Drosophila melanogaster: one gene and its partner. The protein of the gene in region 1 purifies or fractionates together with the protein of each later gene. This does not show direct contact. Each region holds a gene or a part of one and is shown on either strand. Other genes may lie near its edges.

Region 1 (15,539 bases):
CAAGTCGGGCCACAACACCAACAACAACAGCATTAATAGTAGCAATAACGATGTTCCAAAAGGGGCAAAAGCGAACTCAGCATTTGCAGCCGCATCCGCCGGTTTACTAACCATCGCAAACCACCAGCAGCAACAGCTACTTCAGCAACCACATCAACAGCAGCAGCAACAACAACAACAGCATCATCAGCAGTCAAAGGTTAAGGCTATAGCAGCCAAAACCAATGGTCACATGTAATTCATTGCATTTTCCCCATTTCTTAACGTAAAAACCAATCGAAGTCCCATTTTACATACCAGACGTTCATATATGTATGTTTGTACATTCATTTGTAGAGAGGCATATTTGTGTGTGTGTGTTTGTATTTGAGTGCTTTTTGTTGTTTCTGTTGTGTGTGTTATTTACCGCCATTCTAATTGTTTTGGTGCTGCGCTTGTTTGTCCAGTCTCCCGTTTCGCGACGTCTCTTTCTATTCTCAGTGTTTAATTAACGCTTGCTGTGTTTAACATTGTTTATTGAGTCTGCCGCGCGGCAAGTAACAACAAATGGTGAAACGATGATAGCGTCAGCAAGTGCTCTCTCGATTCTTCAACATGGCAGCGATCACAACAACACACATGAGCCACGTTTGCCATTTCCAGTTCCCTTAGCCTCCCTTTGGCTCCCAATGTCCTGCATCTCCCTCGCCAGGAAACTCCCGCTTGCCGTCCTTGTCCCACCCGCCTGGAAGGCCATAACCTGTTGGTTCCTTTTTTGGGAAGAGCACGGCACACGTGGCAAGCGCTCATCTCTCGCTTCTTTTGTTGGTGTGCAAAAACTAAAAATATGCGGAGGAATCTCGTCTGTGGCGTCACCAGATTGTTGGCCCCACACTGAGAGAAAAATGAAACATTTTTGATTCTTCTAAATTTACATTTTATCACAAGTACCCCAAACTTATTTTAATATTTATCGTTTTTATGTTATGATAAATATTGTTCTAAAATTTTGACAACATTTTTTGACCTTCTGCAGAATTCTAAAAAAATATATCCTCAGTTTTTTCTTTCCGTGTGGTGAATTTCATTTTGGTACGCAAATGAAGAGCAGAAGATACAGAGAAAGGCGGAAAGAATGAGTGCAACGAACGCGCCTACGCAGCATTCGATAAATGGATACGTCTAGCGTTGCTTTGTCTGCCGGCCCCTGTTTTCTTATTTTTGAAATCTTCCCAGAATTGTATGATGAGTGTTTTTGCATGTACTTGGCCCTAGTTATTGTCTATTATTATTGTTTTAACGGCCAACTTCTTTCTAGATATTACTTACTAGTATTAGATATCAACCCATCATGATCATATCGTATTTCATGCCAAATCACAAATATTCCCATATCATATTACTGCATATTCCTGCAATACTTTTGCTATACCAACGTGATTTATAAAGGGAGCTGTAAATGTAACGTATTAGCTGTTCTCATTGAAAGCCATATAAGAATTAACCTGATAATACGTAACGATGTTATCTTCTATCACATTCAATTAAGGCCTCAAGTAACTTGTCTATTTATAGAACATATTGAGCAGTAGATTAATTTTACGTCGACGATATGCCTGGTTTCTCGCGTTTGTGTGGGTGTCAATACGTGTGCAGATGGGGGCTGTTAAAGTAGAGTAGGTCAGTGAGTATACTGCATCCTTGAACTTATAGCTTTAAGCTTGCATTGCAATAGCTGGTACGGCATGGTAGAAATTTCACTAACACGTTCTGTAATCTACTCTTTCGTACATATCAAAATATTTAAAATTATTATGAAATTAATCAGTGCTAGGTGATAAAAATGTTATCTCATGGCTAATCACTGAATTCCAATTATTTTACTTGTGGCTAACGTCATCGTTAAATGGTGGGAGTGTAGAACTTGATAATCGCCAACTAATCTATATACGTACTATTTGCAGCGATGACCGTTCACTCTCGGATGTCACAGAGCAACTCTATGTGGATCCGTATGCCGACCTAAGCAATGGCTTGCCCGGGGATCTCAACTGCTGTCCGGCCTCGCCCACCACAGTGCCTGCTAAAGCATCGTTGGATTCGCCTCTTAAACGTTCCGGTAGGAGACAGCGAACCACATCCATTGGCAACCAGACCACCACAGCGAATCCGTCCGAATGCATCATACGCGCAAATAACCGCACGATCTACACGGCCGGACGACCGCCGTGGTACAATTGTGCTGGGCAACAGGTGGAGCCCTTCGTCATAGGTAAACACATCACTCCCAAAAAACAAATCTTTCTAGTCTCTCTAATGTGCTTAATTTCCTTCAGGAATCTGCGGCGGTAGTGCCTCTGGCAAGACCACAGTGGCTGAGAAAATCATCGAAAGCCTAGACGTTCCATGGGTAACACTGTTGTCCATGGACTGTTTCTACAAGGTTGGAGAATTATAATTTAGTTGACGAAATACATTGACTGAATTCATTATGTTAATCCTGTAGATCCTTAATGAGAAACAGCATGAGCAGGCCCTGATCAACGAATATAACTTCGATCACCCGGATGCCTTCGACATCGAGCTGCTGCTGGACGTGCTCACCAAGCTGAAGGAGGGCCGAAAGGTGGAAGTTCCTGTCTATAATTTTGTGACACATGGTCGTGAGAGCCAAACGAAAACCATGTACGGGGCCAATGTGATCATCTTCGAGGGTATTCTTACCTTTCATAGTCCTGAAGTACTTAAATTGCTAGACATGAAGATATTTGTGGACACAGATCCCGATATTCGTCTGGCCAGGCGGTTAAGAAGGTATGTGATGGTTCTCGGCTCTGCCTACCTTGATTATCATATTTTGTTATCAATTGTTCAATTTTAGGGACATCTCTCAGCGCGGACGAGACCTCAAGGGCGTGCTGAAGCAATACCTTAATATGGTTAAGCCCTCCTATTGCAATTACATAGCTCCAACAATGGCCCATGCAGATATCATTGTTCCTCGTGGAGGCGACAACAAGGTGGCCATCCATCTCATTGTTCAGCACGTGCACACACAGCTGCAACTGGTATGAATTGCCTGCTTGCGGTGCTGTTCACCTTGTTAATTTGTCTGTCTGTCTTCCAGCGCGGATTTAAGCTGCGCGAAACTCTGGCCAACTCCTACAAGGACCAGCCAATGCCACATTCTCTGCACTTGCTGCATCCCACGCCCCAAATAAAGGGCCTGCACACGTTCATCCGTTGCCGAAATACGTCCCGCGATGAGTTTATTTTTTACTCAAAGCGCCTGATACGGCTAGTCATTGAATATGCGCTAAGCTTATTTCCCTTTAAGAAAACAACAGTGGAGACTCCACAAGGTGTCCTTTACGAGGGCAAGCGTATGGAATCGCGAAAAATATGCGGCGTCTCAATTCTCCGAGCTGGTGAAACAATGGAACAAGCCGTTTGTGATGTGTGCAAGGACATTCGCATCGGAAAGATCCTCATCCAGACCAATCTTAAGACCGGCGAGCCGGAGCTTTACTACCTGAGGCTGCCTAAAGACATAAAAGACTACAAGGTGATACTAATGGATGCCACCGTGGCCACAGGAGCAGCGGCCATGATGGCCATTCGGGTGCTGCTGGATCACGATGTACCCGAGGACAACATTATCTTGGCCTCGCTTTTGATGGCTGAGATCGGTGTGCACTCCATTGCCTATGCCTTCCCAAAGGTGAGATTGACACTAAATTCCAAAAGCCGGCATTTATTTATGTTCTTCTTTATGTAGGTGAAAATTGTTACTTCCGCTCTGGATCCGGAGATTAATAGTAAGTTTTATGTTATACCCGGCATTGGTAACTTTGGCGATCGCTACTTTGGCACGGAACCCTCTGATGAGTACTAAGGAGATCTGGGCCAATCCATACCTATATGGAACCATCAAGTTTCTAATGTATCTTAGGTTAAGTTCAAAACGTTACTTAAATTATGAATTTGGAACGAGATGTTTTATTGATGTGGCTATAAGAGTCGAACTACAAGCTGTATGAGGAAAGCAAGACTTCCCAACACCAAAGCGATGCCAAAATAGCGTTGGATTAGTCTTTCCCGACTCCTGGTTTGCACTTGAACGTTTGGTAACTCCTGATTTTTTGCACACCTCGTCCAATCGCGTTCGTCGTCTAAAATTTCTCCCACCATGCTAAACTTGCTCGCACTGGTAATTCGCACATGGACACGAGTACCAAGAAGGTTATCCCGCATGGGCAGCAGTACTTGCTCGTAGCTCTTGTTGTGGCCCACGTAATGGAGCTTGTCGTGTGAAACTTCTGTGACCAAGACGGTGTATATTTCACCCACTCTGTCCGCATAGGGTTCATAGCTGTAGAAGAGATCCGTGAGACGTTTAGTTCGTTTCTTCACCAGGTTTGCGGGGATGCGATCCATCTTAGCAGCTGGTGTGCCCGGACGAGGGAAGAACTGATTGATGAACAGACTGGGAAAGCGATATTTGGCGCAAAGGGTCATCGTCTCCTCGAAATCGTCTTCTGTCTCTGTTGGGAAACCACAAATTATATCCGTGGCAATCGTGACACCGGGAACTCGTTCCCTTAAGAAATCCACAACGTGCTCAAAGTCCTGCCGACAGTACTCTCGTTTCATCTCGCCCAGCACAGAGTCACTACCACTCTATAAAAAGAAATAATTGACTATCGAAAAATATTTATATATATTACACTCGATCCTTACCTGTACAGGAACATGTAAAAAGGAGTAGACTCTCGGGTGCTGCAAGACGTTGGCCACTTCCTCGAGATGCTCCAGTATATACGGTGGATTGGTCATGCCTACACGCAACATGCAGTGCTCGGGGATCACTTCCACCAGTTGCCAGAGCAATTCCGGCAATGAGCTTCCAATATCTCGACCATAAGCTCCTGTATCCTCGGAAGTAAGCCAGATCTCGCAGCAGCCTTCAGCAAACGATTGGCGGGCGCGCTCTACAACCTCCTCCGGGGGATAGCTGGCCAAGTCACCGCGGGCGTGTTTAGTCTTGCAGTAGGTACATTGATTTAGGCATCCAGAGTTGATGGATATGATTTCTATTAATGGATTTTTGCGGACTTTGGGTAATGAGAGTGGTGCTCCAGCTACCCGCCGACCATGGACCTTCTTTTTGTTTTGCAACAGCTGGACACTGTGACCCTTGAGGGTCTCTTCAACGACCTCCACCACTCGGTCGATTTGCTGGACACCGATTACGGAAAGACCGTTCAGATAGTCCGATTTGGGAGCTCCCTGGGGAACGCAACCGGCAACCACGACGTGCTTGCCATTTCGCATTCCCGACTCAATCTCGTTGCGGAAAGTGTCCTCCGAAGGATTCTTAACCGTGCAGCTATTGAGCAGCCACAGATCCGCCTCCTCCTTTCCACTCAATCTATATCCGTAGGCAGCCAACTGCCCGGCCATGTACTCCGAGTCCGAATTGTTGTGGGCGCAGCCCCATGTTTTCACAAAAACTTTCTGGGTGCCGGGTATGACACTCTCGTGGATCGTGGGCTTCGGCTTTTCCTCCTCCTCTTGAGATTCAAGTCGAATTTGGGATCGTTTCTTGGCCCGAACCGTAACGGTTTTTTTGTTTTCGTAGCGCTCACGCGGCTTGACATCATCGGCGGATATCAGATCCTCTATATCATCCACATCGTTGCCTGGCAGATCCTGTCCAAGGTGGTACATTGTTTTTCCTTCTCCTTGTTTTAGATTCTATGCCAAAACACATGTGCCGCACTTCCAGCTGTTTACATTCAGATTTCTTCTTCTTCACTTCAGGCAGTGTTGTGAAGTGCATACGGGTAGGGTACCCGACTAACGGCTCGATAACAGGGTCGGCTGTCACATTTAGACACCCTACAAAATAAGCATACAAATTAAGTTTGTTATATAAATGATACAATAAATAATTTATTCCATGTTCCAATTTCCTATTTTCTTTATTCGGAACTGATATGGATATAAGTTGTAATAAATATAATTAGAAGGGCTTTGTTAGTTTAATTTTGATTGATTTGATTCTTTATCAAATGATTAGTTTTGTTCTAAAATGAATAATTATAAATATTAATTTGTCATAACTATTATTATAAGATTTAAAATCAAAATTTTGCAAACATAATTCAATTACCATAATTACACACCCACGACGACGTGCTGAGTGTCATTTCAATATGCCCGAGCTTTTGCGGCTTATGCACCCTACCGTGTAGACACACAGTTATCAGTACGCTATCAGCGGGAACATTCTACTCTGCTCCAGACTGCCGCAACAGCAGCTTGTAAAAGCACAATCCTCCGCTAGCCATGATTACGATTAAATGTAAAGACACCAATCTGGACCCGCTTCCGGTCAAGGTGAGTTCGTAGTCCGTCCAAAAATTAAGCACCCCATTTTGTTCAATGCCAAACTATAAATAACCCACAGATTGGTATTATTGGCGGTTCGGGGCTTGACGACCCAGATATCCTGGAACAGCGGCAGGAACGTGTGGTGGAGACGCCCTACGGAGAACCGTCTGATGCATTGATTGAAGGCGAGATCAATGGAGTACAGTGCGTACTCCTGGCGCGTCATGGACGCAAGCACGACATCATGCCCTCCAATGTTAACTACCGGGCCAACATCTGGGCTCTACGCGATGTGGGCTGCACCCACTTAATTGTCTCCACGGCATGTGGATCGTTGCGCGAGGAAATCAAGCCGGGCAACCTGGTTGTTCCACACGACTTTATCGACAGGACTACTAAACGCCTTCAGACCTTCTACGATGGCAAGGCACAAAGTCCACGTGGTGTTTGCCACCTGCCCATGTTTCCGGCATTCAGCGAACGCACCCGCAACATTCTGCTTCAGGCGGCCAAGGAGCTGGAGATTCCCGCCCACGATAAGGCCACCATTGTGACTATTGAGGGTCCGCGCTTCTCCTCTCGCTCGGAGAGCCACATGTTCCGTCAGTGGGGCGGGGACCTCATAAACATGACCACGTGTCCAGAAGTGGTGCTAGCCAAGGAGGCTGGCCTACTTTACGGGTCGGTGGCCATTGCCACGGACTACGACTGCTGGCGCATGGGTTGCGAGGGTGTCAACGTGCAGGATGTCCTCCGTACTTTTGCCGAGAACGTAATTAAGGTGAAGAAGATTCTGGTCAACGCTGTTGGTCGAATTGCCAAGGAGGACTGGTCGGAGGACATACTAAATGCCAAGGTGAGTGAGCCGAGATAAACATCATTTAAAACTAAGTTCATCATGTGTTCCGCCCATAGCAATGCGTTTGCAACAACACAATGTCTGGAGCCATGTGACGATTTATAAAACTTTGCCACGAAATAACAGAAGAGACGCTGATTCGCCGCAAGATTTATGTGCCACCGCTCTATCAACAGTTCCACAAAAAGCGAGGACCCAGAGTTCACTCCATATCCATTACGTACGAATTAGATCCGAAAGACAAAAGGCAGCCGGTGAAAACTCCATTGAAATGTGAAACTGTAACGTCCGCGTCAGCGTCGCAGTAAATATATACATATGTGTGTAACTAAAAACATTTCCGTAATCAAATGCAATCTATTCCTAAACAAACGCTCAGATGTCTTCTGAATAATGGGACACTTTTCACATTTCACATTTATATTATTACATAGAGTTGCGTCTTTAAAATTAAAATTGGAATTCGATTGCGCTGTCCTTACGGACACTTCCGCTCGACTTGGCTCTTGCCGGCCTCTTCGTACTCCTGCGACGATATCCACATCTGTTGGAAAGTACCTATGCTGGCTAGAATAGAGCCGCCAATCCAGGCTCCAAATCTTCGCTCCACGCTGCCATTGGCAGAAATCATTTTTAGGCGCGTATTTGAGGGGGCACGCAGCTGGAGATCGCGATTTAGGCGCTCCGGAAAGCCTTGCAGAAGGGTATTGCCACCTAAGAGCAAAATATTAAGGTATAAGTAATTAGTTTTAAAACCTAGGGAAAATTCATACCAGTAACGACAACTGAGCCGAAAAGTGACAGCCGCACATCCGCATCACACATGCCCACACTGGTGGACGCCAATTGGCCAGCTCCCAGCATTGCATTGTCAAAGAGACTCTCGGCTATCTTGAACCGCTCAGAGCCAAAGTCCTGATGATAACCATTAGGAAACTCATAGTGTACCGTCGGGATTTGAGCAGCAACCCGTTCGTCGAACGGATTTTCTAGGACCTGCAGCACATTCATCTGAAAGTCTTGCATCATGAGCTGCAACATGTAGTTTTGCCACGACTGAGTTAGGTTCTCTGGCAGTTTGCGCAGCGTGAAGCGTCCGTTGTCGCGCTCCTTAACAACGTCTTTGGAGGCAATCTTGTATACCGGCGACAGATCAATGCCGTGCTTCTCCAGATGCTGGCGGCACTGTCGTGAAAGGAAGTCTCCACCCAGGGGTGACTTAACCACCGCCTGGGATAGGACATAGCCCTCATGGACGGGAACGGCCGAGGTGTGGGTGGCTCCACTATCGACAACCAAAGCGGTGGCCCGCCCGCTGGAGAAGGCAGCCAGAACGGCGTTCTTTACCAGAAAGAAGGCTGGAACATTGTACTTCTCGAACATAAGCTCGGTTAGCTTCTCGCGGTTGTTGCGGACATTCCACGATGCCTCGGAAAAGAGCACGGGATGGTATTCCGGCTCCGACTGAATGACATTGGCGTAGGCATAATCAATAACCTTCTCAAACAGGTCCCAGTTGTCAATCATGCCGTCTTTCATATAGGTCTGCACCTCCATATTGGAACGGGGAACGGTCACGTAGTTGGTGTCCACATAGAACTTGCGCTGGTCAGCATCTAGAGTAGGGGTAGGGATTGCCGGTTTTTCCGGGTTTTTAAAAGCCATAAACTAAATAAAGGCGATGTAGAAACTAACTATTTGGCGTGGCATTGTTGTCTGTTTTAGTTTCCGGATCGAGATTGGTCTCTGGAGCTGCTCCAATCCCCACAACCGAGGGTATCTCCGCCTTGGGCGAATCCTCCTGTGCGTAGCCCACTCGCAAGGAATGATGTCCAGGATCGAAGACCAGGGCGCCGATCTCGTCGCCGCCATATAGCATGGTGCCGCCACTCATATTGGGGCGTTCCGATTATTTTTTTCGCACGTTGTGTTCAAGTAATTCGCGAAAATACTTCCGTCTGTGTATATTTTGCGGCTTTTTTCACGACGCTTCTTCCTCGCTGGAGATGGTCTGATAAGTTATCGATTGTTTAAGCCAAATATTTTCCTACCTATCGCTTTGGTCGCTTACCTATCGATTGCTGTTCTCAAACAATTTCCATCGCTATTAGTTAGCAAACACAAATTAAAACTCGGATTCTAAAAACATAGATTTTATTAAAGAAATTACCGTTAAGTGGTATATTAAAACATACGGATGAATTAGTACACAAATGTGTTGTAGAACGTTGGAGAAACACAGTGCGAAAAATATTAAAATGAGTACCGACAGCGCCGAGGAAACGGTGATCCATTCCACTGTTCCCCATTTGGAGATTAACATATCAAACACCAACATCAGCGGCCAGATTGTTTTAAACGACTTGCTGCTCATGGAGATGCTCGCCCGGTATCCCTTCCTTATCATCCCGCAGGTGGAGCCCAAAATGGACGTTGACTACGACTCCTGGGGTTGGGATCAGCTGGCCAAGTCCTTTAACCAAAGCTACGAGCACGTTGAGCTGAGTACTCCGTTCTCCGTAAGTGAACTGAAGCTGCGTTGGGTGAAGCTGCGCCCGCTGGTCAGAGCCTTGGCCGGTTCCAAAGGGCAAATCCCTGAACCTCTGTGGCGGGTGATGCACGATGTGCACATTCGCATGCAAGCCCCGAATCCGGCGGATGTGCCGAAAACCAAGTGTCAGGAGTTTCTTCTCAGTCAGTTGCCTTTCGTGAAATCTATGGCGCAAGCGGAACGCCGGCATTTAGAAGTGGAGGTCCTCGCCCTCATCCTGGAGCAAGAGCGCCAAGAGAAAGCTACTCGAAAGCTGGGTCCTAAGGACCTGGAGACGGTTCAGAGCGAATACGACGAATTTCTTAAAGCGATACGGGTGAAAGAGCTCCCAGCAGACAATTTACTCAGTCCGGCCATGGACAGATTCGGCATTAGCCCACACAAAATAAGACCCAATGTCGCAAGTGCCAATAAAAGAATCAGATATAATAATGCTTGCAAAGGATCAAATGATGTCAAAATCAAAATAGAAACAGCTATTGAACCTAAAATTAAAGATACAACAAAATGTGACGAACGACCGATAGAAACACCACGCTTCGTTCCTCTTAAAAGCGCGAAATACTACATTAAAAGGTGTCGCATCCGGCTGAAGCGAGTGGAAATTGATGATTATTTACCCTTAGCTAGAATACGGCGCTCAAGGCGGCCTACGCTGAGAACATGACTTTCTTTCGTATAAAATGCACATAAGTTTATTAAAAAATACATTACTATAAATTACAACTTAAAACTATTGTATAATCCAAATAGCATTTTATATTTCACTTGCTTTGCATTCTCGAAGAACTAATAACTAAACAAACAAGGAGCGGGAGAACCTAGAGAACAGGAGAGCGGTTTAGCCGGGGCAGAAGGACGACAGGATTTTGTTTGCTCGTTGCCTACGATCGCCTGGTTCTTTCGATGCTTATCGGTAATCAGTAATCCGTTACACTACACAATCGTCAACAGATACTAAAGAACGCAATTTAACAGGTCTATAAATACAGTCGTTGGTTGAAAGCGTAGCACTTAACAAGAAACAAACAATGTTGATGAAATCTAACAAACGGTCATAGCTGCTAATCCTTTCTCAAAACAGTTGGTCCGCCAGGTTCCCAATGAACGTGGCCAGGTTCATGGATGAGCCCTCCTTGAATTTCAGTCCAATCGTCTTGCCGTAGGCTTGTATAAAAATGGCGCGCACTGCATTCAGGCGTTGCTTTCGTCTCCAATTGTAAAACAAAATTATGTCATTATGTATTTGCTGTCGAATAATCAGACTACAACTTACAAGTTGATGCATTGCTTGCTGGCCATAGTGCTGCCGCCTACGTCTTTGGAGGAACCGTTTGCGAAACCGTGCGTCGAGCTGCCGTTACTGATACTGCTACCACTTCCGCTCCCACTGCCACTCGATGCTGCATTGATGCTGCAGTGGTAACCATTGCCGCCATTGCATAAAGGAATGTTTGAGGAGCCGCCACCATCGGCTGCCTGTTGCGCCACAAAGCGCATCATGTAGCTGCCGTTCATCATGGAGTCAATTGAACCCGTGTCGGTAACCACCTGCCAGCTACCATTGGACGATGTAGACTCCTGTCTTTGCCGCGCATTTGATCCGGGCACTGAAATGGGGCTGGTTCTAGATCTAAAACAAGTTGAGTTCACAGTTAGTCAGGTTTCTAATTTTAGTATTCAGCTGTTCAACCTCTTCGGATTTGGCGACCTGCTGGTCAACGGATTGACTTGCGCCGGCGTCGTGGCATAGAAGTTATCTGTTATGGACATATCACAGTTGGAACAGTTTGAGTAGCTGTCGTTGCTATCTTGATCGAACGAAAGGATGTAGTCTCTGCAATTCAAAGTAAATGGACTGATAATGGTACTGTTCATTTACAATACTTGGCTATAATTCTAGTGTCTTTGGCTATACTCACTCCTTGAGCGGTTCATCGTCGCAGCAATCGGATTTGATTACTATTACACTACTGCCGCTGCTGCTGGATGTCTTGGTGCGCTTGCGGTGCTCCACAATGCTGAACTCCTCGTCCGTGATAAACTTCAGCACGTGGAAGCAGAAGAACATGATGTCTTCGCCTCGTTTCAGGCGATCGGGAAGTTGATGGCCAAACAGGTACCAGTCGTAGGCCAGTGTGAAATAGGCCATTTGCATGGCGTTCAGCGACTGATGGATGAGTCCATCTGCCCACAGAGACAGCCTGACCAAGGAGACAAACAGTGGCGTGCGATCCCAACCGCTGATGCAGTGAATCAGCAGGCCGGAGTTTTCCTCTTGCACGTATTTCAGTGTAGCTCTCAAATAGTTTTGGGTGATTGCCACCAGATCCCAATCCCGGTACTCCGACCACGCCACATCGATATCCGCAGCGGGTCCCATGTTGGGAATGTTGATATTCGCATCGTTGAACGTTTGCTTCCAGTTGTAGTGCAGGTTGCGAGCCATGTAATTATTGTCCCGGAACTTTTTGAAGAACTCACAGCCCGGATACGGCAGGGATAGAAGGTTAAAGCTCTTATAGTGCTTGTTGGGATCCGCTTTCTCTGACGAGGAAACGCTAAAAGAACAAAAAAAACAGGTGGTCAGTTTTTGTTTTGTACTCGGTATCTTAAAGTGTACTCACGCCATGAAGTATTTGATTTTGCGGTTTTCGACCATGAGGTCCACAATGGTTGAGACATTGAGCGTATGCAGCAGCTGGATGTCACTCTTGATGACTTCGTCGTAGCTGAACTGCGACTGCGCCTGGTCGTGCATGTGGGTGATCAGCGACTCGTCCGTGGAGTCAGCATCGTTCTCTTCTCCGTTTGGCGCGGTGTAATTGCCGCCACTCAGGCAGTCGTAGGCATAGTCCACCACTTTTCGGCCGTAGGTTTCTGGCATGACGGATAGCGTGGCAGAGCGGCATATGTACTTTCCGCGATACATAATCACAGGCACGGCGAATCTTTGACGGCATCTCGCATATTTGGCCATCGTTACCAATTCCCGCATTCGCTGGATATCATACTGATCCTCGTATATCGTATTTTGTGGTTGCTGTTGCGATGGCTGCTGCTGCTGCTGCTGGAGTGGATGTGGCTGCTGGGAGGGATATTGCGCGTGGAGGGGATGCATCTGCTGCGAGGGATATTGTTGCTGGAGCGGATGCTGTTGTTGCGTCTGCAGGGGATTGGCAAAGGTCACAAAGGCTTGGATGCCCACACCCTCACTTCCGGTGCTTCCTGCACTGCTGTTCAGAGGCGTGGCAGTGGCGGTTGTTCCCGAGGAGCCTCCACCTCCCACTCCCCCACCAACTTGCCCGAAGAGTCCATTTCCCGGTACCAGCGTCTTGGCCATGTGCCCGTGCTCATATTCCGGGATGAGTATTCGGCCAGGATATCGCGGACTGAGCAATCCGTTCGTATTATCCAGCTCAATTAGGCTGTAGTCGAGCTTAAACAGGTATTCGCATTTTTTGGAGATGTCGTACTCCTAAAAGGAAAGGAAAAAGATCAGGATACCATGAATAGGGAGTTAATATAATACATATATGCTAAAAGTAGATGTAATAGGTAAGGATTATGTGGTAAAATAATCGTTTGAATAAAGTTGTGCAACTTTTCTTGCCACAAATGGGATCCATTTACGAATGACCTTAGTACCCATTCACTTCGGGTAAACATTAAGTATTTGACGGGCAGTGTGTAAAGTCAATGGTTTGCATAAATCAGCGATGCCGGAGACGCTTCTTAATGGACAGCGAGATTAGAACGCGGAGTGCAACTGGTTTTCATGCATTCGCAATGTGTGTATACATATACTATATAGACATTCCTAACCCGAGTTCAATGGAACTTGGACGCTACCAGGGTAGGAGAACTGGAATCTGGATCGTTCGGCTTCGACTGGTTGCTATCTGCCGCTCAAGGGTTAAAACAGATAAGCTAAGGGGGGTAATGGCCAAGTTACAACGCCAATTAACCATCGAGATACAGTAATAAATTCACAACAAGTATAACCAATTCATAAGAAACAAAATAATACGTATTTTGTGTGCTAATCAAAAAGAATTCTAAAGGTTGTTTAGGCGACTGGCTAAAAATAGAAGGAAAGGCGAGCAAGGGGGCGGTGGCGGCGAATGGGGGCGTGGCCCCCAGCCAGCTGTCCCAGACAAACAACTGCGACTAGATAAAAGCACAATAATAATATAGCCTCAAAATAAAACGACTCGTGCAAAAACAAACACCTTGGGAAAACAGGTTTCTAGCTCACAGAGAGAAATGTGCAAAACAAATGGAGGAGAGAAAAACAAAAACTATAAAAAGACGAAGACCGCCGTAGCTGCGCAAAAATTGGCAACAACAAAAGCGAAGCAGCGAGCAAAACAAACCCGATGAAAACTTAGTGGGGCGCATGTGTGTCTGTGTGTGGGGACTCAAAACTACTGCACACAAGTGCGCAGTGCGAAGCGAACGAGCAAAACAACTAAAACGCAATTACAATTACCAAGAAAAACGCCGACGGAAACACGCAAAAGCCAATCGCTTTTTATGGTGCTTTTATTGTATTTTTAGCATTTTTGAATTGCATAACGATAGGTTTAAGATAAAACACATCAGTACAAAACTACTATTGCTTTACTATTTATTAAATACTTATTGATTACAATTTAATCGAGTATTTGGCTTACAGTGTTGGAAATTAATTTAATGATAAATGCGTTCACTGTTTTAGCGGTTGAACTATTAATACGAAGGTGAAAAATGGATCTACGGATCAAAATAATAATAATAATAAATAAAAATAGCAAATATCAAAGCTCGAAATGCCAAAGCTAGTCTTAAAAGAGTTTAGCTACTTTTGAGGTTCCATGCAGCTACTTTCGGCAGCACTGTTTGACAGATGATGCGAGCGGGAGCAGGCGAGGTGATGAGTGTGAGAGAGATGGGACTGTCGGAAAGAAAATATAAGCCCCATCGATGGCCGATGCGCGAGTGAGTGTTTGAGTGTGAGTGCGCTCCAAGTCGGAGAAGCTGCCGTTACAAAGCAGTCAAGTCACACATGCACACATGTACGGGTGGCTACTGTTGTTGTGTGCATTGAACTGCTTGCCCACTGCTTCTGTTGCCGTTGTTTCGTTGCTTTTGCTGCCGCTGTCGTTTTTTCATTGTAAGCGAGCAAGTGCAACTGTAAGTGCAGCAGCGCTGCTTGAAAAACTGAGCGCCTGTTCCAAAGGCGCTGTAAAACTTAAAAACAACAAACAGACGCGCGCTCGTTTAGTTACAGCGCGGAAAATAGTTTGCGAGCGTGGTGATCATTAAGCCCCATCGTCATCATCAACATCACGAACGGCGCTGGCGCTTTCATCATCGCTGACCCAAATAGTGAAACTCAAACCGAAAGGCTGGCTCGGAACCCAAGCTCGCCTCACAAACCCGGATTTTAAAGACTCTGCCGATGCTGGGCCACCAGAAATGCAGCAGAAGCTGCAGAGTGCGACACACTTTTCTTCGCTCTCTCTTGAAAAATGGAACCGAACAGAAAATAAAGCAGAAAAGCTTACAAAAATTAAAAAAAAGAGAGAAGAAAGAAAGAAAAAACTGAACAACAGCGGTAAGAAACCGCACAGCTGAAAATAATCGTAGTCGCACTCGTGTGCAATCGAACCGAGAAAACCACCAACCGAACCGAACCAACTCGACCAAGCACAGGGAATCAGCAAAAGAAAAGGGTGGAGAGGTCGCCCATTAAGTACAGTACGACTTCTT
Region 2 (17,647 bases), on another chromosome or scaffold:
GACTTTTACGAGAGCGAAATTCTCGAAAATTTTTCGGTGTGAACACGCAGTTAAGACCGAAGTAACTGTTCATCGATAGCGTTGGCGTTGTCCAAAAACTATCGATGGCCGAAGTCAGCTGTTCGGCCTTGTTATCTCGCTCCCGCCCCCAGCATAGTTGCTGACTCCGCTCTGCTCTCTCGCTTGCTCTCTGAACGGAACAACTGAGTAGTCTGAATTTAACAAGTAACCAAACCAAAAATTAAATGTGCTTTTACATCAACAAACGCTGGACGCGCAATAAGTGAGGTGTTAATTATGCGCCGCAGCAGCAACAGCAGCCAGCAGTGAAAAAATGTTGCACTCCATCTGAGTTCGGCCGCACAATTGTTTTGGATTTTGGATAAATCGCAAAATTGGAACGAATAAGAAACAGCCAGAAGAACATCGAACGGAAAAAAAAGAAAGCGCGATGTGCGACGGTGAAATTGGCGATCCGGTGACTCAGCCACGTTCCGAGGGCGGTGGATTGGTCACAATGGATCAGGAGACCCGGACGCACTACCTCGACGCGGCGACAGATAAGCACCTGACCAATGGATCGCCAGATCCAGAGCCCGTGGATCCGCTACTCGTGGCCCAGTGGTCCATCGAGAATGTGACCAGTTGGGCCACCTGCATGGAGCACTTTTCGAGAACACTGCTCGACTGCCTGCGCCAGGAGGCCATCGACGGCGAGGTGCTGCTCTCCCTCACCGAGGAGGATGTACGTGATATGCGCTACAAACTGGGCTACAAACTCACCTTCGGCGAGCTCAAGAAATTCTGGATAGCCGTGCTCAAGCTGCAGCTACTGGTGAAGAACAGCTCTGCGGAATCCGTAATACTGGGCATCGAGTGCCATGGGAACGGGAACTCGGTATACATGCCACTAGCCAGCACCGGCTGCGGTCCACCGTCCTCATCCACGTGCCCCTGTCCGCAGGCCGAATGCCCCAGCTATGTGTCCGATTGCGATACCTATTTGCGCATGGGCGGACGCTATGTTCCGCCGGAATACTTCAAGACCGCCATGAGCTTAGGTGAGTGGTCCACAACCTGCCCCCCTTCAATTACGAAGGTCAATTGTCCATTGATTGCTTCGGCGGGCTTATCGGTCGTGTGCCAATTCTCGAGAGCTTTTCGCTTTTCTCTATATAGCGCAGTTCAGGCATATACTTTCCTTGCGATAGCCGAGAAGTAAGAGGTTTCCCCATGGGTATGACTATTATGTAGTATATATATAGTAAAATTGTTGTTTTATTTATGAGTCGAACTAATGTCCCGTCAGTTGACTAAGGACAACGCCAAGAAATAAAAAATAGTTTTTAGGAGAAATAGTTTCACGACTTTATTCTTTGGATCTCAGCTTAAGACTAAAAATCAAATGCAAATTGGATTGAGGAGAAGCCTCAGTATTTGAACAATATTTGTATTTCGGGAGAGCCTCGCTCTTGGGTTCTTAAGATTAGGTAGCGTTGAAAGAGGGCAGTCAAATCTGCTTAGGTCAGGCTTTAGGATGTTTACAAGAACGGCTGCGCTGCCAAAGATAAACGAATGCTGCGCAGCTGGGATACGTTATGGAAAATTACTAGAGTGCATTACTGATTTCTTTGAAATAATGGAAGTGGCTGGTTTGGACCACCCAAATACGTCACTCCCCTTCCCTTAAAGAGAAGCCTATACTTGGGCTGGGATTGATGGATATAGTGTGGGAAATGGAGTTTCTTCTATTTCTGTTTGTTGTGGTGTGTTTTGATTTTGATTTTTTCTTATTTTAAGTTTTGCATACAGCATCATAAATGGTTTAAATGATACATATCTTAAATATGAGTACAACAAAATTAGTGCGATTATTACAATGATCATTTGTATGTAAAGTGTAATATTGTTCTCTGAAATCATCTCAACAATGTCGTTGTGTTTTACAATTTTTATTTTTGTTATATTAAGTGGTGTGTATAGTGGTGTCAAATCTATTTCTGGTTCTAACAGATTTTCACTTAAAATTATATTATTGATTTCTATTTTGCATTGCGTTACTCTTATCATTTTGTTTCCTTCTATTTTTATTTTATTAATTGAATTTTGGCAATTTTGGTTAAGAATTGTTTGGGTTAAGTTCCAGGTTACAATTGTGTTTGGTTCTATGTATTTTATTATTTCGTTCGTGTGTACTGGCTTAAAATTACAAATTGGATTTAAGTGTTTAATAATATTGGTGACACATTCATTTTTTACTTCTTTATTTTCGGTATTATAAACTTTATTTTCTTTTTCAAAATATGATTGTGTGTCTGTGTAATCTAGCTGATAGCCGTTGGAGTCTGGGTAAGGAATTATTTTAATTGTGCTTATTAGTGAAAGGTAAATGGGTATGTGGGATATGATTAATACTTGGTTATCATTGTAGTTAATCCAAGTGGATGTTTTAATGTTCAAAATGTTTTGGCTGTTCACATTTTCAAGTTTGTCGTAGTTTAGTAATTTGGGGTTAAACAGTCCAAGTCTGGAAAGCTGCATAGCCATTTCCAAATCTTCTATGTATTCCGTAAACTGCATTAGTTCGAACAAAAGACTGTCAATGATGGTGTGGTTATTTTCATAATTCTGTATTTTTTTGCATTCCGTCATTTATCAATCGTATGGCGTCGTTGAGTTCATGTAATTTTACTGAGTTATGGACGTTGATTTCAAGTTTTTTCTGTATTTCGACTCGATCATTTTCATCTAGTGTTCCAAATAGGTATTTAAAACCTGAACCCACAATGTTAATAAGACCCCGTTTGTTTCTATGTTTCAGGGTTATTCCGGCTAGTTCTCTTTTTATTTTATTGTATAAAAAATTGATCTGGGGTGCATGGTAATCGGTTCGTAGTCTTTGCTCAAAATAGTCAACCACGATGTCTATTTCAGTTAAATTGATTTTTAAGGAGTGATGTTCAAAGGAGGATGGTATCTGTACTGGCTTATCAGAAAAAAGGAGATATCCGTGGTTGGTGTCAATATTATTAATTTGAATTTGTTGTCCATGAACAGCTGTGATCAGTATAAACAATAGTGTTATCGGGTACCAGGTGCCTTCCAGGTGTAGTTTCGAAATTAGTAATTGACGTCGTCTCTCCGCTTCTTCGCAGAATGCTCTTAGGCTTCCTCTGTATGGTGTCTCCCTGAAGTTCTCCAGAAGTTTGTAGTTTGGTGTTTGAATTTTAAATTCCGCGATGAGTCTTGCTTTAAGGGTAGGCCAATCTTCGATGTTCGGAAGTCCCAAAGATCGTGTAATTTGTCCGTCCAAGTTCCTTTCGATGGCTCCCAGTAGAATCCTCTGTTGTCGGACATCATTTGTTTGGTAGAGCGAAATTACGTAATCCACTCTGCTGATAAAGGTGTGAAGGGTTTCTGGATCACCCTTGAATGGCATAATGTCTTTAAGCTGCCGACGGGCTTCGGCAAGGTTTATGTCGCTCAGCGCAATAATTGGTTGTGACATTTTTATTGTAAAATTTTTAACTTTTGTGTTTTATTTTTTTGTTTTGTTTCGGATTCAATGTTATTATTATTTTTAAGCTTTCTAGTTTCACTTGTTTGTTTTTTTTTGTTTTGTAAATTTTTGTGTTGTATTATTAAAATTCTATATTGTTTTAATTTTTTATTTTTATATGTTGGTTTTAAAACTTAGTTGCCTTTGGACTTAATATTTTTGTTTCGTATTTCACTTCCACTTATTATTGGATAACCGAATTGGAATTATAATCCAAGTTGAAGAGTTTTCACGAATTTATTTTGGGAGATGTTTCGAGCACTGGACTATAAAATTTAACTTATTTTCCACTCGAAGGTTCTTTTTTTCGGATACTTTTGTATCCTACCGACTGCGCCAGTAAAATTGTTGTTTTATTTATGAGTCGAACTAATGTCCCGTCAGTTGACTAAGGACAACGCCAAGAAATAAAAAATAGTTTTTAGGAGAAATAGTTTCACGACTTTATTCTTTGGATCTCAGCTTAAGACTAAAAATCAAATGCAAATTGGATTGAGGAGAAGCCTCAGTATTTGAACAATATTTGTATTTCGGGAGAGCCTCGCTCTTGGGTTCTTAAGATTAGGTAGCGTTGAAAGAGGGCAGTCAAATCTGCTTAGGTCAGGCTTTAGGATGTTTACAAGAACGGCTGCGCTGCCAAAGATAAACGAATGCTGCGCAGCTGGGATACGTTATGGAAAATTACTAGAGTGCATTACTGATTTCTTTGAAATAATGGAAGTGGCTGGTTTGGACCACCCAAATACGTCACTATATACATATGCATATCTAGATAAGAAGCTCTGGCATATGGCAGTTAACTTTCAAAGGAAATAATATATTATATAAACCTCTGCTCCATTTTATCAGACTTTTGCTATCATTTGCCTTAATAATCCCAACAAGCTACGAAAAAATATCATACATATCACACTTTGATCTTTTTAAACATTAAACATTTAGTTCTTGTCATGTCTGCCAGCATTAATAATTCTAAAATTCTGTAACCAGAAATAAACGCTTTCCATGTGAGAAACATTGCTTTAATTAGTAAATCTAATTCTAGAGTATATCACTCAATCCAATCACTACCTCAGCGATAGGCCAATAATAATGGTTTCAATGTCACGCGTGTTATAAATGTTTAATCAGACCATACGTCATTAAATCCCATTTATAGTTTCTGTACTACTACCTATTCTACGAAAGTAAACGAATTTACCTTCGAGTTCATGGGTTCATTAGCTATGACTTCTAGAGATACGTCACACTCTAAGTTTAATAATGTTTACTGGTCACTGGCGACGCGTTACTATTATTTATTTTGAGCACTTCGGAGGTTATTTGTGTAGACGCCGCTCGCATTTATTTGTGTACTCATATGCCTCTCATTCTGGCTAACTGGTTTTGTTATTTTTGTGTAACTTTGCGTGCATTAAATTTCAAATTCCCATTTGTTTATGATACCCTTCAAACGGCTGGTTTTACTTAACGGGTAAATTTTCAAAAAATTGAACGGCAAAGGAAAACCTAAAAACAGTAGCCAATCGAGTGTTGAATTTTATGTATTATGTTATGTATTTATTTATCTATCTGACAAGTTTTAGCTGATTATTCAAAAAAGGATTGTTCTGTAAAATAATGTTTCACTTGAGTTATAATATTTAAGTGATCAAAGTTCAAACGAAACAATGGGCTTATCTAGGCTAATTTGCTATCAGTGGCTTTTTATTTCGATAATGCATTTATCATTACAGACTATGCTTGTTTTTCTATTGTCATGGCCATTTCAATAGATAAGTCTACATTTTGGCAGATAAAGCTGCTGAAAGATAATTCTTTTGGTAGTAAATATTACACTTTTATCACTTTCGGAACGGGGTCAAACACACTACCAATAATAATACGAAAATAAAATGGTTTCCTTTTCTTTGTTAAAAGGTTTCCGCATTATATACTAAATTATTATACAAACAAAGATGACTATCAGAATAAAGTACATACGTTTATTTGCTCTGATATCTCAAGTTTAGTCATCATTGTGATTCAACTTCATAAATTCGACATCTTGAGATCAATTTGAAATACAAACGTTTTTAGAAATTATATATAGAGAGTTTATAGATTATGGTTGCAAATGACCGATTCCATAACTATTTTTTTTCCGCCTGCTGAGCCAAATTAGTCACACTCTAAATCCGCATGGTAACATCATATTTTTTGTACCATCAACAGGCTACTCGTTCGTTGTCACCTGGATAACATCGTTAACAATGGTTATTGTGCACGAGCGGGTTCCGGATATGAAGCGCTATCCGCCGCTGCCGGACATCTTCCTGGACAACGTGCCGCATATTCCGTGGGCCTTTAATATGTGCGAAATAACCGGCTCACTATTGTTCACCATTTGGGTGGTCGTGCTAACCTTCCACAAGTATAGATTGGTCCTACTGAGGCGATTCTTTGCTCTGGCGGGCACGGTTTTCCTGCTGCGCTGCGTCACCATGTTGATCACGTCGCTGAGCGTACCGGGAACGCATCTGCAGTGCAGCCAGAAGGACTTTGCCATCGATGATCCCAATGTGGACATGGTGGGCGCCTTGATTATCCGCATGTCACGAGCCTATCGCATCTGGAGCGGCCTGGGCATGTCCATTCAGGGAGTGCGGACCTGCGGCGATTATATGTTTAGTGGTCACACGGTGGCCTTGACCCTGCTCAACTTCTTTATCACAGAATGTGTGTTATTTATTTATATTTCCTATGCTGCTTACTGACTTACACTCTGATCTTTCAGACACGCCGCGGAATCTGTACTTCCTGCACACGCTGACCTGGCTGCTCAACATGTTTGGCATATTCTTCATCCTGGCTGCCCACGAGCACTACTCCATCGATGTGTTTGTGGCCTTCTATATCACCTCACGTCTGTTTCTGTACTATCATACTCTAGCAAATAACAGGGTGAGCATTTAACAGCTTCGTTTTTGTTTAGAAAGGGCATTCTAATAATAATTTATTTCCACAGGCTCTCATGCAAAGCGACTCCAAGAGGACGCGTGTTTGGTTTCCCATGTTTAGCTACTTCGAGAGCAGTGTCGATGGAATGGTGCCCAATGAATACGATACACTTGGCTCCCTCATCGATGGGATTATTGAGCAGATCTTCAAGGCCAAGGATCAATTGGCCATATCCGTGAAGCGCTGCTGGCTGGATGCCCCGCTGTCCGGCAATTCATCGGCTCACATGTTTGGCGGAGAATCTGAACAATGTTTGCGCAATGGCACAGCATCGGCCGCTTTCTTTAGTCCTCACCAGTCGCTGATCGGAGGATTGGGTGGTCAGAGGAGCCAGACGCATTTGAATAGCGCCCAATCCGGGTCCTCCACACCCACACCAGCTACATCGGCGCCGACCAAGAGTTTGCCGACCCAAAAGAAGACCTTCAGGGATGCGAGTGTGGATCCCTTTTCGCGCACGACGTTCGCTGCGGTCCAGCAGGCAGAAAACGTCAAGGATTCGCCGATGAAGGAAAAGAAGCATCTCTGATTCTCACAGCCATTCGCTCTTCCACATTCGTATATCGATATCGATGTCGCTCTTCGAAAAGCAAACATGCAGAAACTAACCATACCGACTGATATTTTTATTTCGAAATTTCCATCGATCCCCTTCCTTTCACAGCTCTCCCCTGTATTATTGACAGCATTCTACCATTTGTAGTGCCTTCCGGGTCAGATCCCCCCAGATCATCCACCCACCATTTAGAAAGTCGTTGTGTCCCCCAAGAGCCTTTCCTTAGTTTACTTGTGGAATTTTATGAATATCGAAGTTTTTTTTAGCCGGGAGATGCTCCACGTCGGCTTTGAATTGATTATGATGATAAGATAGCCCTCCTCATTCCGTTCAATTGAGTTTTGAACTAAATGTATTTATTATTGAAGACTTTTTAATGCATTATTATGTAATTGTAAGCATGTGAATCAAGCGTATTTTTAGTTAACTAGTGTTAAGTTTGGAAAGTTTCTGTTGAACGCACAAACACATTAAATAAATCAAAATGAATATTCTCAGAGTCTGGAGAAGCCACTGTAAAGGTTATTCATAATTTTATTCACAAATGGAAAGTTTTGCACAAAAGGTATCTCTCATTTTGCTCAGTCTTTTCCCCACCTATGGCAGTTTTGCTAGATTCGCAAATTATATTGAAAAACCTGGTTAATCATTTAGCATTAGCTGGATTTGGAGCAACCAGAACCAATTGAGTTTTATTCGGATAATACGGGTTGGTATAAAAAAAAGAATATTGTGGTTTATAAACGGATGAAATTAAGAGTTCGCTTCACAAACAGAATAAAAAGCTTTAAAAAGAAAAGACCAGCGGGCATCTACAATTCATCATTTTATTTTTGTTTGTTTTAATATAAAAATGGCATTTCTTTACTAATTTTAAGTTTAAATTACTAATATAAAGTAGTATGTATGATTGCGGTAATTGAAAAATATATATATATATATATATCATATATTCTCGTATATATTCTTCAAGGTGTGAAAAAATAATTGCAATGAACATGAAACATCTTCTGTCAAGCGTATTTTATAAGAAAGCGTTCAATTTAACTTAATGAATAACTTTTATACCTTTTTTGTTGTTTGCCTTTTCTTTTCGTTATTCATTTTTGTATGGTGTAAAGCAAATCGAAACATTTCAATTGTTTTGTGTGTTTACATTACTTTGCAATAATTCGCATCAAAGGAAGAAACAATTAACAAACGATACTCGAGAAAATAGGCAAATTCAAGCGTTCGTTTCTCGCCTTAGTGTTACAACTAATATGCAAAAATAAACTATGAAAAGTGTTCTTCATGAGTTGTGAGTTATCTTTGTTGCTTCGCTTCATAAATTACAATTTCCAAAAAAACAATATATGTAGTTTGATAGGTTTTACATCATACCTTATATGCTACATCATGTGCCTAACATTATATATTTGCCAATTCTGTCGGTCTGTTATGTACGAAGCTACGTTTGAGGTTTCATTGAATCGTTCTCTCTACGGATGCACCCATATGTATATGTCTGCAGTGGCGGTGTGCTTATAGTTCATATAGTTCATAATTTGATATTTGTCATTTTATTTAGAATTTGCGTTATGTGAAAAACATAAATTTAACAAGTTGGTTTGTTGGTTTCTCTCTTTTGTGGTTTTTGCTTGCTTTTAAATAATTCATCCCTTTGCTGCTAACCGATACAATATATATATGTAAATCTAGGCATAAACTATAACCGTTTTCTTCGCGTGTATTTCAAAATATATTAAACACGATGTATGTTGTAGTTTGTTTTTTTTTTTTTGTTTGTTTTTAGGTTTTTTGCTTTTTAGGTTTTTTTTTTTTGTTGGTTTGTTTTGCGTTTGCTTTAGTTTCCTTATTTGTTGTTTGTTATAGTTTATGAGGGCTGTTGTTGTCGCGGTAGATCTACCGTCACATAAGATCGTAGTGCAATTATTAATTTCTTCTTTCTGAGGCTACAGCTGTGTACACAGCTTTACGACAGGTCTGAAATAAAAATATAATGTAATTAGCACTATAACCATGACCGATGGTAACTTGAACTCACAGCTAGGCGCTGCCTCGTAGCGACGCTGTATCTGATCATATGTGAACTTGACAAAGGCATCGTACTGCTCGGCCAGCTTGGTGGTCAGCACGGACTCGTAGCGCTCCCTTAGCTGATTCTCGCGCTCCTTGATCATGCTCTCGCAAATGAGCTGCACCTGCTTGAACGTGAACAGGGCCTTTTCGCCGTGGCGCATCAGGTTCTGTGGACTGTCCGGGCGGCGCGGACTCTCTGGACCCATCTCCGATCCGCTGGACTCCGAATCCTGCATGCGTTCCAAGGCCGACGAAGTGATCGGCAGCTGTTTGCGCTTGTGCAGTCTCTTGATCTCATTGCACAAGCTCTCGGCCATTTTGTCTGTGTTTCGAAAAGAAGAAAGGTGTATTAAGGTAATATGCATAAAAGGAATCCGACGTCCCTTTTCCAGCATCGACCTGATTTACTAACCTGGTGACATTTTGGCCAGCGACGACTCACTGAACGGACTAGGTTCGGTGCTATCCTTGGCGAATCGGTTGCTGGGCGTGTGGGGCAGACCAGCCGAGGTGCTGGGACCGTCGCGGGATGGCGACGCTGGACCTGCATTGCTCCCAGCCTGGCCAAAGGGATTGCAACGCCGGCGCTTCGGAGGCCGCTGGTTCATCGACTCCCAGTCTAGGGCTCGTTTCAGGGTTGCACAGGCCATCGCTATGATTGAGGTTCTACTACCCGGTGGTCTTCTGATAGATAGATGGCTTGCTTGATTGTCGGTAGATGCTGATTATTGCCTCGATTCCAAATGATGGATGCTGCAGATGGAAGATCAAGCGTCGGCTGCAATGGGCAAACAAACAATGAATGAGTAAGGTGAAGTGAACACCTTGCTGGCAAAGAAAAGACGGACGCAAACTGGTTTCAAGGAAAAAACAGGATTCACAGGCGTGCACTCACGCACACGCAGCCGATAAAAGAAAATGGTGCAGCGATTTATGGCCGCCAATGCTGGCAATTTGGACTTTTTCTCGCCTTGTATGTATCGTGGGCAACAATTGTACGCTCTCTTATCTTATCGCTTATGGGGCGTGATTTTGGAAATAATTTGAGGCTTCAACGCTACAAAACAAGGGCCTTTGCTTAAAAAGAGCGCCGAAAATAGGAAGGTACAAAAATTTTTAGTAAATACTTTTCGCTAGTCAAAGTTGCTAGCAATGCATAATTTGAAAAGCTATTATCCGATATTTTCCCCAGAAAGCTATTAAAAATAGAAATGCCAGTAAAAAACTTTTAAATGCGAAGTTCGCGTAAGTTTAATGACTTTGATGACGTCCGTTTTACCTAAATAATCATGACAAGAGAGGAAAAAAAATTCAAGACAACAAAAAAATGTTTTTTTTCCCCCATTTCGTCACGATTAAATTATATTGTTCAATAAAATTAGTAAGCAATTAAACATATTGTTATATTCTTATATTCATAGCTTTTTCTAGAATAGAATGACAAAACCATTTTAAAAACCTAATTTTTATGAGACTATTATAGTTTCCACGACAATTAAAAGGATGTTGGCTTCCTTGGGGTTTCTAGCTTCTTTCGGCTATCGCCGACAGCTCCGATACCGTGCACCCAGCTGCTGTTGTCGCAGGAAAAGGGCGATACCGAATCGGAATACGAATCCAGAAACTCCGAAGAGAAGGAGAAACCAGCCAAAGAAAGCGACGAAACGAAGTGGCGCAGCGCAATTAAAGGACGACCGACAATGAAAATAAAAAAAACCACCACGCAAAGGCAAAATGCATAGCAATGCAGAGGGAAAATAAAGAAAACAGAGAAAAGTGTAAACTGTAACCCAATAGCAGAACAACCACCGATAAAAGAAAACTACGCAGGATAATAATGCGTGTTCTTCTCACTCTTCCCCTTTCTTTCTTTTCTTCTTCTTCGTCGCTGCAGCGGCAGCTGTACCAGCTGTTTTCCGCACTAACACACGCACACTGCCCTCTCGATAAACCGCAACACGTGTGTATGCGTCTGCTGCTGGTGTTGCTGTCTCTGCCCACAATTATTAAATATTTAAAGCCATATACAAAACGTTTTTGGGTTTAACGTTATACTCTTTTACGTGACAAATGCCAGAGATTAGTTTAAAAAAAAGCAAACGAAATGGCAGCAGCCAAAGCGATCACACTGGTTGTCCCACTCTAGCCTGCACACGCACGCACACAAAGAAACGCACACGCACACCGTTGTGAGTTGGAATGTTGATTTCATGAAATTTTAAAAATGGTCGCATCGCATATCATTATCAGCTTTTCAGAGGAACAAAAAGTTAAACAGCTTTTCCAACAATCGCACTTACATTAATGCGTATTTTGATTTTTCCTTCCGACTGCTTTTTTGCTTTCTGCACCACTTCACACGCGCTTTATTTACTTTTTTATTGTGCCACTAGTCCGCTGGCACATACCCACTTACATTCACGTCCGTACTTCAGTTTGGGTGATTAATTTAGGTTTTCGGTTAGATATAAGTAATGTTATTGCTTGCTGGTTGTTTGAGCAGTATTCCAAAGGCCACTGAAATGCACTGTCAATAGTTGTTCGTCCTCGGCGACTCGCTAGATATAATTTACAAATTTTCGTCTCGCTTCTTAGCAAAAATGGACGACGATGCTTGCGTGACGGGACGTGAACAGAGTGACCGCATGGCGACCGCTAATATTGGTTGCCCTGCTAACGGATCTATACCAAAAAATACTTTATGGTTCTACCAAATATAGCAAAAACTTCAAATAACCGAAAAGTCTGGGGAGAACATTTTTCAATTGCATATTCTATGTACTTTCTTGAGTCCTATAACCTTAAGTCGTTTGTAGAAAGTTAGCATTATTGCATTTTTATTTTTATGGAATTCAACTCCAAGTAACAAAAAATTAATAAATAAAAAACACCCTCATGTTCTAAATTCCACCGTTCCTTGAAGCCGCTAACTCATCGACGCCAAATTAAAAATAATTTGTTCTATAATAAGAATCCTTTTCTTCTATCTTTTAAAAAACCTTAAAAAGCCTATCTTATGCTTTTTATAAATTATTATTTTATTATTACGATTATTAATCGAAGAACGTTTAAAAAATGAAAACCTTACATGGGAGCATAATAAAATTTAAGTTGTCTTAAAAATATTTAATTTTGAAATATCACTTAAGTTCAAAGTTTTTAGTATTTTAATCAAGCATCATATTTAGTATATTTGATAAGCCGGAAGGTTTTCTATAGCCGTCAATGCGCGGTCCCACCATTCAATTCAACGACAAAGTAGGAAATATTTTCCACTCCTGATATCAAATATTTTTGCACTTTTATAAGCGTCGCCAGGCAATTTTTTTATCCGCGTCTTTGCCGTTTTTACAGCCAATAAAACCAACGACCTTGCCCAGTGCGTGTGCCTTCGTCACCAGTGGAAAAACATTACGTAGGGGCGCAGGACGGAAGAAAGCAGGAAAAGAAAAGATCTATAAATATTTTTAATCGCCGTGAAAGTAGCCAGCAGATTTTAGTTGCAAAATATTATTTCATTTGCGGTGCGAGGACACAGTAATCTGCGAAAATGGTCTTGAAAGTCTACGTCAGCGGCATGTCCGGCAATAAGGAGGTGAGTTTGTGGGCGTGGCGGGCTTAAAACCGAAATAGTGTCATGTTATTGGAATGTTTGGCCCTGGTATTAGCGACAAACAGATAAAAAGGAAAAGAAGCAAACTAAAGTGGTGACGAACGCATTGCAAATTCTATTTCTTCTGCTGCGTTTCGTCTTTGTGTGTATGTACGTGAGTTGGACAATGATGATGATGTAGTGTGTGGTATGTAAGTCTGTATGTCTGTACAGTCAAAGAAAAACAAGTGGGTATTTTCGTGAGTGCCCTTGTGTGCGAGTGTTAGTGGTGGCAAGAAGCAGAACAAACATACATTTCATTGCCCATATAAGCTCATTCCACTGTGAACTGTAAATTGTTCATGGAAGAGAGGGATTTCCATTGATCGCAGTTGCGTGGGTGCGTGTGCATGTGTGTGTGTGTGTACATGCGTGAGGGGTGATTCACTTCCCCCTCTCACTCTTTCGGTGCCTTTGTTCAATTGGCAATCTTCCTCTTCCAATAAGAACAAAAACATAACGGTCATTGTACGGTTCACAATTATTTGTTTTTGTCCTGTCTTTGTACACTTTAAAAAAGCGTTGGGAAACACATATTCTTATCGTAAGATAAATGCTGGGGTGCAACAAACCATTTTAATTAGCCTTATCATATCGCGTGGTTCTGGCGTTCTTTTTACGTACATATGTTTATATCGGCGGGGAGTTGGCTTTGTGTGCGCTTGTGTGCGTTTGGGCTTGCCGGTAACACTTCATTAGCGATTTGTCATCGCTGTAATTAACAGCGTTGTCAAAGGTAGCTACACTGAACAAAACGATACATGTTAAAGGTATTTTATATACTTTAATTTTTAACTTTCTTTTCAAATTTAAATGCTTTCACTGACCGTCGAAATCCAATTTTACAGGTGAAGAAGCGCCAGCAGCGCGTTCTGATGATCCTGGACAGCAAGAACATCAAGTACGACACGGTGGACATCACGGAGCCCGGCAAGGAATCCGAGAAGGAGCTGATGCAAAACAAATCGACAAGCAACGGTGGAACGGTCAGCGATCCAGAGCCCCGTCATCCGCTTCCTCCGCAGCTGTTCAACGACGACGAGTACTGCGGTGATTACGACGCCTTTGACATGGCCAACGAGATCGATACCCTGGAGGTGTTCCTCAAGCTGGCTCCAGCCGACACCACGGCAGTTAGTACCGCCCAAATCGAACTGAAGCAGGAGAACGGCGATGCCAAGAAGGAGGAGGCGGAAACGGAGGCGGAGGATAAGAAAACGGAGGCCGGCGATGGCGATGTGGATGTCAAGGAGGAGGCTGCTGAGAAGGCCGAGGTTTGAACTTGAGCTATTTTCACGTATTTTCCGTTAACTGTTACGACGCAACAAACGCAGCCAGCAATCATCTGCAGCAGAGCAATAGAATTAACAACAACAGCAATGTCTTGAAACTAAAGCCCTTACACTTAACAGCAGAAATAACACCCAATGTTTACCTAACAGCACAGATACTACCAACTTTCTACATACATATATCAATATTTTATGGAGCCCGTCTTCGATTTCTATGCCCATAGGGATTTGGGGGAGTTGTATAGATAATTGCAGAATATGAAGTGCAATCTTCCTTTTAAATTATACAAAATTTACAAAACTAACTTTTAAAACTACGAGATTTATTTAGAGACTTTTTAGACCTTCATCGGTAGAGCATGAAATCGAAGATCTTTCAATTTTTAACGAATTCATTATGACTACTGCGGTTCTTAAGCTAAGTTCATGAGCGTATTTAAACGAGGGCATTCGATTGTGTTGGCCCCCGGTGAAAAGACAATTTTAATCAAAATATTTATATTCATTAACTGACATCCAAACAACTTGTATGTACCATTTATACACACCTGTAATAAGGACTCGGAATACTTACTCGGAGCACTTAAGCCTAAGTTGGAGTAGTGTAGAGAGCTGAAATTTATTGTGCAGCCGTTATGTTAATGCTAAAACATAAAAAAGCGCTGCCCCTGTAATAAAAGGAAATATATTTGTATTAACTAAAAAAAAAAACTATAACCAATCGCAAGCTTGTTTTTCTAACACTATGCAACACACTCAAACTCTAACACCAACTTATCAACGGCTAGTTTAACAATGAGAATGTGACAACTTAATTTACAAAAAGGCTTTTTTAATACCAAATATCTATAGAGAGATTTTCCAAAGTTGGTCTTTAGGTTTGACGAAAAAAACTTTTCACGAAAAGTACAGGAATATGGTGAATTTCAATATTCTTGAGCAATTTTGTTGCCTTAAAGACCGACTTTTTCGAAACAGTTTCGTAATGTAAAAACATTACTAACAATTGAGTGATTCTCTAAAGAACGAAGACGGCAAGGACAAGGAGAATTCAAAGGGCGAGGATGAAGACGCAGATGAAGAGAATGCCGAGCAAAAGGTAATAGATCGATAGATCCTGCATGACCGAACCATAACTCTAGGCTTTTAGAGCTTATAGGAGCTAACAAAGGCATGATCTCTTGCACTGTAGTAGCCTAGCGATTGTCTGATCTTGTAAATACAACTTCCACTTTACCCCCCCCCCCCCCAAAAAAAAAAAAAAAACGAAAAACCACCAATCAACAACCCACAAAACATTCGCACCCCTAATCCCACCACCCACAAAAAGACTGAAACCGAAGAATCTGGGGACAAGAAAACGGAGGAGAAAACTACAGGTAAAGTAGGAAGATCGTCCCTAGACTCTAATCAAAATTTCTACCCCGTAAAGACGCTGAAGGTGAGACCCAAGAAAAGTCTGAGGAAGTGGATACCAAGGAAAAATCAGAGGTTGAGAGTACCAAAGATGATGAGGTTGGAAAATCCGAGGATGTTAAAGATGATGAGGATGAAAAATCCGAGATTGTAAAAGATGATAAGGAAAACTCCCAGGATGTTAAGGATGATAAAACTGAAAAATCCGAGGATGTTAAAGATAAATTAGAGGGAAGTGAGGAGACCGCAGAAACATCGGAGGATGCTGACACTACTGAGAAACCAGATGTTGAGGCCACCAATGATGATGGGGATACAAAATCGGAGAAAAACGAGACGCAAGAAAAGTCCGAGGAAGTTGATGCCGTTGAAGAATCAGAGGCCGAAAGCTCCAAGGAAAAAACGGAGGAAAATGACACCAAAGGCACCAAAGTCAATGAGAATGATAAAGACGAGGATGTTGAAGAAAAGACCGAGGAAAATGCAACAGAAGAGTCCGCGGACTCGGATAGTGCTACCAAATCAGAGGTTAAAAGTACCGAAGATGATGAGGTTGTAGAATCGGAGGATGTGAAAGATGAATTCGAAGAAAATGAGACCAACAAAAAGGTCGAGGAAGTTGGTAGTACTGAAATATCCGAGGTTGTAAGTACGGAAAACGAAAAATTTGAAGATATTAAAGAAAATCCTAATGAAAATGAGGCTCAAGAAAAGCCCGAAGAAGTTATGACTGCCGAAAGATCTGTAGAGGAAACCAAAGAGGAAGAACCAATCGACGAGGAAAAACCTGCAGAAACGAAGACAGAAGACACGCCCGAAAATGAAGAAAGCAAACCGGATGGCGAGAATTCCTCTTCCGAAGAAAGCGAAGAAGAGTAAAAGAAAATCGATTGAACGACAACAAAAAACGCACTGACATCCGCATCACAAACACCAATGCACAAAACGCACACATACACACACACGCACATAAAAAAACGCACATTTAGCCAAATAATACCAAAAATGTTTTGTAAATAGAAACAAGAACCCACTAATAACGAGTCTGGTGACGGGTAATGAACCCTAGTTTAGGCCTTTATGTGACTTATTTACAATTTTTACTCCTTTCCCAAAACAAACAACAAAAAACTCGCTGCTGTCTACAACAACAATGAAAGAAGTTACCAGCGACCACAACAACAACAGCAGCATCAGCTAAGAAGACTTCAGATTCCCAATCGGATCTCTTATTGGACAGCGAGCGGGCAGCGGCTGCGCAGTAGGCGTCGACGTCAGCGCAGACAGAGGCAGCGCCAACTTTGATTTAAATTATTTTTATGATTTCCACAAACTATTCGGGCTTGTTGCAATTCTCACTTGTTTTTGCTGATTTATTATTTTATGTGTCGATACTCTAACAATGATACAACCGTTTTTTATTTATTACAAAATTAATTTACTTTTGCGCTAAAATATATTCAAATTCTAAAAGCTGTAAGCAATTAGTTTATCCAAAGGCTTAGCAAAAATGTAATAAAAAAAAAAACTTAAAAATTGCTAAGGTTTAGGCGTGGTCAATAACTTGAATGGTTTAAATTAAAGTAATTGTGATGCTATTTATTTAATTGAATAAAATGTTAATCTAGAAATTCAGCAAATTGTGCAGTAAATTTATGTTAATTCAGCATTAAAGTGAGCGAAAGTAGCAACAAGCCCGTGGGTTTTTCTTTCTCAGTTTATAACACAACAAAAGAGTAGTAATATCAATAGACTTTTGTATTTACGTGTCTCACTTTTAGTTCTTGTATCCAAATAATTAAATATACAGTACATTATAATTATGTTTAGTACAGTACACGGTAAAATGAAGTTATAGTTATTTACGCACTAGTTCGGGGTCTTTTCCATTACAAAACTAGTAAAAATGCGAAGGAAGGGTTCGCATTGGTGTGCCTCCGCCACGCGCCACGCGAAACTCATTTACTAAAAGGAAAACAAAGAGGCTTCTCTTCCGTCCCAGTGAATTAGAGAGGAGGTTGAGGTTGATTGGGGTTCAGGACGTCTATCCATCCGTCCGTCCGTCCGTCGCACTGTCCATGTAGACAGTG

Evidence for each region.
Region 2: the proteins of Bap55 (region 1) and akirin purify together in Drosophila melanogaster (affinity purification with western blotting, with the first as the bait; one study listed by BioGRID). This does not show direct contact.

What each region holds. Positions count from the first base shown.
Region 1 is NT_033778.4:17,421,713-17,437,251, forward strand, and holds Bap55 (brahma associated protein 55kD), read right to left. Parts: upstream 9,252-15,539; 5' UTR 9,129-9,251; coding exon 8,930-9,128; intron 8,851-8,929; coding exon 8,008-8,850; intron 7,949-8,007; coding exon 7,713-7,948; 3' UTR 7,641-7,712; downstream 1-7,640. Other genes in the region: l(2)k01209 (lethal (2) k01209), read left to right, coding at 1-234, 1,944-2,251, 2,316-2,422, 2,486-2,793, 2,861-3,047, 3,107-3,700, 3,758-3,874; CG6550 (uncharacterized protein), read right to left, coding at 3,991-4,659, 4,720-5,709; Mtap (methylthioadenosine phosphorylase), read left to right, coding at 6,331-6,381, 6,452-7,231, 7,291-7,329; Lhr (lethal hybrid rescue), read left to right, coding at 9,448-10,452; EDTP (Egg-derived tyrosine phosphatase), read right to left, coding at 10,861-10,996, 11,062-11,418, 11,479-11,643, 11,708-12,346, 12,413-13,263.
Region 2 is NT_037436.4:7,364,035-7,381,681, reverse strand, and holds akirin (akirin), read right to left. Parts: upstream 11,840-17,647; 5' UTR 11,614-11,839; exon of another isoform or gene 11,498-11,613; intron 11,343-11,497; exon of another isoform or gene 11,132-11,342; intron 10,883-11,131; exon of another isoform or gene 10,657-10,882; intron 9,976-10,656; 5' UTR 9,848-9,975; coding exon 9,610-9,847; intron 9,520-9,609; coding exon 9,163-9,519; intron 9,102-9,162; coding exon 9,091-9,101; 3' UTR 7,971-9,090; downstream 1-7,970. Other genes in the region: SMSr (sphingomyelin synthase related), read left to right, coding at 452-1,061, 5,774-6,277, 6,336-6,502, 6,567-7,088; Sh3beta, read left to right, coding at 12,748-12,792, 13,698-14,123, 15,166-15,240, 15,472-15,520, 15,574-16,436. UniProt on the Drosophila melanogaster protein: Molecular adapter that acts as a bridge between a variety of multiprotein complexes, and which is required for embryonic development and for normal innate immune response.